2 linked regions of the Drosophila melanogaster genome follow. The protein of the gene in region 1 interacts with the protein of each later gene in a biochemical or structural test. Each region holds a gene or a part of one and is shown on either strand. Other genes may lie near its edges.

What was found. The genes of interacting proteins can lie anywhere in the genome.
Region 2: the proteins of E(bx) (region 1) and Iswi form a complex in vitro, tested with the Drosophila melanogaster proteins (one study listed by BioGRID).

What each region holds. Positions count from the first base shown.
Region 1 is NT_037436.4:245,168-248,920, reverse strand, and holds the start of E(bx) (enhancer of bithorax), read left to right. Parts: upstream 1-2,008; 5' UTR 2,009-2,538; intron 2,539-2,597; 5' UTR 2,598-2,704; coding exon 2,705-2,993; intron 2,994-3,445; coding exon 3,446-3,753. Other genes in the region: mthl14 (methuselah-like 14), read right to left, coding at 1-2, 56-245, 300-719, 805-920. UniProt on the Drosophila melanogaster protein: Histone-binding component of NURF (nucleosome remodeling factor), a complex which catalyzes ATP-dependent nucleosome sliding and facilitates transcription of chromatin.
Region 2 is NT_033778.4:12,634,579-12,638,331, forward strand, and holds the start of Iswi (imitation SWI), read left to right. Parts: upstream 1-2,092; 5' UTR 2,093-2,203; exon of another isoform or gene 2,204-2,265; 5' UTR 2,266-2,364; coding exon 2,365-2,412; intron 2,413-2,475; coding exon 2,476-2,693; intron 2,694-2,760; coding exon 2,761-3,015; intron 3,016-3,076; coding exon 3,077-3,753. Other genes in the region: Mvk (mevalonate kinase), read right to left, coding at 1-848; CG33672 (uncharacterized protein), read right to left, coding at 1,246-1,506.

The DNA.
Region 1 (3,753 bases):
ACCTGAAATAATATTCATCCGTTGGTAAATAGAAAATAATGTTACATTGACTTACTTTTGCGAAGGCAATTTGTTCTTCCACTTGGGTTACACATGTAAAGGCAAACAAGTGTCCTGACTTATCAATATCCAAGCAATAATGTTCCTTCACAGTGTATGATTCGTTGCCAAATTTGTCGATGATTAATAACGAACCGTCTTGCAGAACAAAGAAAACATCGTCTTTGTCGTCGTACAAAAGAGAACTAATTTTGCAGAAGAATTTGTACTTTGATTCAATTTAACATTCGCTTTCATACCTGTTGCACGGATTTCCAATGTCGTAGTCGAGCGTAGTCTCAACCTCCAAATCTTCAATGCAGTTATCGAACAGAACTGCACTTATTATAGTCGGTTCGAAGCTTAAGAGCCCGTTGTCGCACATCGAATCGCTTTGATTTTCCCGATATATATTTAAGTTTTCTCCATGTGGGCAGCATTTTCTTAAACGAGACGATGGTGTTGCAACTGGTTGCTTTCTGTACTTTTCCCGTTGAGAACAGTCCGCCGGATCTAACGGGTTGTCTACAGGACTTTGAACAGGAACAGAGGTTGCGAACCTAGCACCTGATATTGTTGCAGCTTCTGTCGAATATGTTTGAGGTACAACCAGTGTTGAATGTATTGAGGCGTCCAGAACGTCAATCGAAGTGCTATTGAATGTGTCTTCATGGAAAATACTAAGCAAAGCAAAATATATTATAGAAAATGCAAAGATTCCAAAATTAGTATTTTTCGAAAACAAATATTTTGAGTATTTCTTACTTTGAGTTGTTTGATCCCTTCGAACTGTTATTTACAGTGCTTATCTGTGCGGAGGCGTTAAAAAACGTTTGTAAACTGATTAGAGCTAGGAGAAAATTCCAGTGGCCTAGATTCATATTGCCTTTTCAACCAATCTACAAAAAATATATAGCATAAAATGAATAAAACAAAATTGCCGAGTTCGTTTACACAGAAAGTATGTAAACAAACCAAATTTTGACATTAGTTAGGTGGTGTGGGAACTGGTAAGATATGGGCTATCTTATCTGTGTAAGATACCAGTAGAGTGCGTTATCATAATATAACACATGACGTCAGACGAATGTGGTAGCACATTCCTTAGAATTGATCAATACTCGGAAAATTACACTCATCAACTTATACAAAACCGCGTTAAATGTCAATTTTTGCGCACTGATTATTTGATTAGATCATATTTTATTCAATTATTGTATTTTTAAAAATAAACTATTTATGGCAATTATTGTTTACGTACATGTCAAATAATTTATGCTTGCTATTTAAAATGCAACCACTGAGCTTGATTAATAAAGTAATACTAGCGAAAAAGAAGTTTTAATTCTGCAATGGAATCACTTTGTGCAGGCGATAAGATAACGATGTTTTCAGGGCTTCAAAGCAAATTGTTTACCCTAATTTCTTTAACAATAACACATTTCTCAACAAACACAATTAAAATACTTTAATTTAGTATTTTTAGAATAATTTTTTAAAAAATTTAAGTAATAATAATATAAAAACCTTTCCCAGTAAACAAAAAATCGTAACGGCAACTTATTATCGATAACATTTTTAATGGATTTTTCGTGGTCGGCAATTTACGAAATGAGATCACCAGGATTTAAAATGCGAAATTGGGTAGAATGTAATACACTAAAATAAATTTACAAAAAAATACATTTTTTTTACCGCATCAAAAATACCGTTTTAATTTTTAAGATAGTGAGCAAAGGTAAGTTTATTTTGATTACAAGTTAACGGGTTTTCTTTAAACGCCCGCTCAACACGTCGATAAAAATAAAAATACATCTGTCAGTGCGGTTCAGCGTAAATGCCAAAAGCAACCCTGCCTATATCGTTTGTGCAACCATAAAGAATTAGTTCTCCAAGCCGACCGCAAGAGGACGCTTCTGACTTCACGCAATAGAAGAGTCGCTGTGATTGGCCGACTGTACACCGTCTTTAGCTATGTTCAAAACTGTAATGTTAGGTAAAAGTCTCTTTCGCAGTGTGCTGAAGATAGTTAAAAATATTAGAATATATCGTGTTAAATCCTGTGCAATTATTCCGCAACATGCTGGGTAATTTGCGCAGTTAATCCATGTGTTAATTGTGAAAGAAGAGTGACATTTAAACAGACGCAAAAATTTTCACGGTTGCTTAAATGGCGGACAATGTGCGTTGGCTTCATTTCATCGCACTCGCACACATACAATCGAACTTGGTGGTGCTGTCCAGTGCGTTTGCCGTCCAACACTAGAAGCCAAGAATGTGTTTTGAATACATGTACTTAATGTATTTAATCGGAACCGTTATTCTGAACTAAACAAGCTCTTTTGGCGGGTTTTTTTCAACTCCAAATTTGCGCAATACAAAGAAAGTGAACACCCAACGACAAACTTTTGACGATCTGATCGATTTTTCCCCCACATACGCTGTTGAGTAAATGTGTGTTTGAATGTGCCCCGTAAATACATAGCTAGCTGAGTGCGAGTGAGATGCGGTGTGCGTTCCTGTGGCACCGTGTACTAATGGGTTAATTTTCGTTTCAGATCTAATGTGCAGCCTCGCAGCATTAACTTGGAACAATATCTGAGGAGAGTACCCCCACGCACCCCTGCACACAGCCAGATAAATACGCAAGGCGAAAACAAACAAGATGAGCGGTCGCGGCAGCCGTAAACGTGGACGTCCGCCAAAGACGCCCAACGAACGCGCATCAGGACGCTTCAATTACCAGCTTCTCAAGAAGCCGAAGTATCTCAGCGAGGGAAAGTCGCAGCCCAGCACTCCGTCGGCATCCAGGGGCATTTCTCCACAGAGCGACGAGGGCAGCAGGAGCAGCCACAACAACCACACCAATCGCAGTCGCGGGAGCGCCGCTAAGAGGGGACGAGGCCGCAAATCCGCCGTGCAACCGAACACCAGTAGCTACTCTGGAAGGAAAGGTGGGTTAAAGGGGCACCTAAACTCTAACTTGGGAGTCAAGACTTACAGTTTCGCTCTGACTAGTTCGAAGATTAATAGGGAACATAATGTGCCATATATTGATTGCAGTGGAGAAAACTTTGATCGTTTTGAATGGTACTCATACTTCAAACGAGTTTTCCTGTGCGTTAAAGAGCTTCCGCTTCATAAAAGATCAAATTTAATATTTTCGTGACAACCACTACCGGGCGAGTCAGTTTCGATAGGTCTATCTGCTCTAATACCAACGATTATTTTTGAAATCTTACGACAAAAAATCTTTCAGTCTAGTTGGCATGAGTTTAATAACAATTACTTAAATACAATTCAGTAGAAATTGGGTCCACAATAGCAGTGACAGTATGTCAGGTTTTATGCACTTAGGTGTTGGTGAAATCATATTGGTTCTAAGAGCTACTGTTCCTCTTTTCAGGGTACGAGTCGGAGTATCACTACGGGTCAGATTTTGGGGATTCCGAAGAAGATAAATCCGATAATGAGGATGATATGCTGCTTACTCCCAGCGACGACGAGAGCCTAGAAGTAGCCAACGAGAGCGAATCAGAGTTTTCCGTGTGCAGCTTTAACCAAAATGGAGTTGGTCGGCCGCCACGTCCTCCTAGCCCAGAACCTGTGTGGCTGCAGGAAGGTCGTCAGTATGCAGCGCTTGATTTGCCGGACTCGTCGGAGGATCTTTTCATTGCTAATACACACGTTTTGCGCGCGCTAAGTATCTATGAA
Region 2 (3,753 bases), on another chromosome or scaffold:
TAGAGTGGAACGGCGGCGGCAACAAGCTCCTCGCAAGCCTGCCAAATGGCCTCGATGAGCTGCGGAAAGGCATCTCCCAGATGACGAACCTTGGCCACAATGTCGGCGGTGCTGCGACTCACACGACTGTCCACCAGCAGGATGTTTAGTGGTTTCTGGATCTTCAGCGACTGGAAGCCCTGGCCCTTGACATACCGCAACATTCCGCCGTAGGTGCATACAGTGTTGTCCAGACCCGAGGGCGTGCCATGATTAACACGCTCCGATTCATAAGCCCAGGACGAGATCAACGCCTGGTTTGCCTCCGACAAGTAGCTGTCTCTATCAAAGTGTCCGGCCAAAATGAGAAATGTCGTGGCCAAAGCTGCTCCGAAAGAGGCGGAACTGCCCAAACCCGCACCCACGGTTAGCTGGCTGTCTACCTGCACCTGGAAACCGGTTTGCAGCGTCAGTTTCTTGTCGCCGGGTGCGGAGAGTACAGCGCCGGCCAGCAAATAGTATATGGAGATGAATGCCCGCTGGGTGTGCTGCTTCGGTGCATTGCCTCCGGATCGTTCAAGTTGTTTGGACACCTCTGCGCGGACGGCTTCCAACAGATTGGCCGTGCTATCTGATGGGTATTTACTCCTAAATTCAGCCAAAAATCCATTGAACTCCGGCAACTGGATCTCCAGTGTGCAGTTAAGGGCCTCCAGTTGAAAACTTGCCACCTGGCTGTCCTCCAGCTGCCGAAATCTCAGAGTAGTGCCCAAACCCACTACGGCGGCGAGGGCGGGACGATGATAGACCACGGCGTGTTCGCCATGGAGTATGACCTTGCCCGGAGAATGGACCTGGAACTTGAGCATTGTTCTTGATGATCTCCGTGTATTGTGTGTTCTGTATTCCGTTTGGCTATGGCTTTATCGGTTTATCAGCTGTTTCGAATTGTAATGCTAATGCCTTTCGAGTGGACGACCTGCGACAAGTAGTTAAACTTTTATGGCTGTATTTCTTTATGTAACTTATGCATTTAGTGGATCATTTGCGTTGTTTATTCGGTAACTCCTATTTCTGGCTGCCGATTCCTGTGCTTTCCCTTTCACTTTCTTTGTGCGACTGGCGTTTTTCGGCTTGTTCGTCTCTTCGATCGGAAAGCGCAACCATCAGCAAAACGAACAACAGGTTTTTGCGGCTAGTGTTTGCTGTTGTTGTATCGCTCGTGTATATGTATGTGTGTTGTTGGTTTTTTTTTATTCGGTACTACTATTGGGCTTTCACTTTCTCCCACTCTTCGGGTGTGTAGGATTTCTGGGAGAATGCATGGATTTCTTTCAGTTCTTCGGCAAGCGTTGAGTTAACTAATCTATGCTTCTGGAGAAGGGTCTTGCCGCTGAAGGCTGGCGATACGATTACGGCGCTGAACTTGCCGCCACAGCCGTCTGATTCGTCCGTAACACTCACGTACTCCGTCTGCAGTTCCCGTTTGAGCTTCTCCTCGAGGTACTTTGAGTCGTATTTACTCATTTTGGATGGTTTTTTTTTCAAACGAAACGAGGTGATGGAGTGGTTGTGTGACCGTATTGGGCTTCAGGCAAAAACAGGTTTTCCATAAGCCGGGTGGTAGTTTTTCTATCTGCGCTGACCTTGGCCACACCTAGCACCATTTTAAATGTTCTTTTTCGGGGGGTTTCTTGCGATATATCTATTAAATACTTTAATATGGGGGTTGTCTAAGTAATTTAACAGATTTTGTCTTTGTTCATATAGTTTGGGGCAGCCATTCAAGTCTAAAACGATGTAGTACATATTGTCATATTTAGATTCAGTTTCCACCACAGGGCTTATTTCTAAAATATTATGAGACCCCATTAGACTTTTCGATTCCTGCTATATTCCATCATCTCAAACTTAAACATTAGGCAATAATTTTTAAACAAACGCAAACAATTTAAAAAGATAACCTATTTGATTAATCAGAATAACGGCTTTGTCTAAAACTAATAATAACGGCACACGGCCAGTGCTGCCATTCATAGTAATCCATCAAAACTATCGATAGTTCGTATTCTCGATTTGTTTGCCGCCACCGTCGCTGCCGCAGCCAACTTCGCGCATTCATCGCATAATCTAGCGATAGCACGCGCAGATTTCCCACCATTCATTAAAAAAAATCGCATGTAATTATTTACAATTTGTTTAAGCGAAACAAACATTGTTTTGTGTAAATTGCCTTTTATTTATATACTGAAAGTATAACTAACAGGTTGCACACTCGATTTTCAGTTCACATTAAACGACACCAGTGTGCAGCACGCTTGATTGGCGAGGGGAAATTTGTGGAAAAATTAAGTTCATTTAGAGACAGACGCCGGCATTGCAAATATGTCCAAAACAGATACAGCTGCCGTGGAGGCAACCGAAGAGAACTCGGTAAGTTAATATACAGCAGGCTTTGTCTAAGGACTTCTATACATATATTCTGAACTCTGCCAGAACGAGACGACTTCAGATGCGGCCACCAGTTCATCCGGTGAAAAGGAGGCTGAGTTCGACAACAAAATCGAGGCTGATCGCAGTAGGCGCTTTGATTTCCTGCTAAAGCAGACGGAGATATTCACCCACTTCATGACTAACAGCGCTAAGAGTCCCACGAAGCCTAAGGGTAGACCCAAGAAGATCAAAGACAAGGACAAGGAAAAGGATGTGGCCGAGTGAGTTAAACTCCCCCTATAAAAAAGCCAACTACTTTATCTATTGGTGTACTTTTGTATTAAACAGTCATCGTCATCGCAAGACAGAGCAGGAGGAGGATGAGGAGTTGCTGGCGGAAGACTCGGCCACCAAGGAGATCTTTCGCTTCGATGCCTCACCCGCCTACATCAAAAGTGGAGAGATGCGTGACTACCAGATTCGCGGTCTTAACTGGATGATTTCGCTTTACGAAAATGGTATCAATGGAATTCTGGCCGATGAAATGGGTCTAGGAAAGACCCTGCAGACCATATCTCTGCTGGGTTACCTCAAGCATTTCAAGTGAGTTTTCATAAACATCTATTGTTTTAAAGAAATCTCTAAATACCATATTTGCGTGCAGAAATCAAGCTGGACCACACATCGTCATCGTGCCAAAGTCAACGCTTCAGAATTGGGTAAATGAGTTTAAAAAGTGGTGTCCTTCCCTCAGAGCCGTCTGCCTTATTGGTGACCAGGACACCCGTAACACCTTCATTAGAGATGTGCTCATGCCTGGCGAGTGGGACGTTTGCGTGACCTCCTATGAGATGTGTATCCGCGAGAAGTCTGTATTCAAGAAGTTCAACTGGCGCTATTTGGTCATCGACGAGGCGCATCGTATCAAGAACGAGAAGTCGAAGCTGTCGGAGATTCTGCGAGAGTTTAAGACCGCTAATCGTCTACTTATCACGGGTACTCCGCTGCAGAATAACCTCCACGAGCTGTGGGCCCTGCTTAATTTCCTGCTGCCCGATGTGTTTAATTCGTCAGAGGATTTTGACGAATGGTTCAACACGAACACCTGCCTGGGTGACGATGCATTGATTACGCGTTTGCATGCCGTGCTGAAACCTTTCCTGCTCCGTCGTCTAAAGGCCGAAGTGGAGAAGCGTCTGAAGCCGAAGAAGGAGATGAAAATATTTGTGGGTCTATCCAAGATGCAACGCGACTGGTACACCAAGGTGCTGCTTAAGGACATTGATGTAGTGAACGGTGCTGGCAAAGTGGAGAAGATGCGACTGCAGAACATCCTTATGC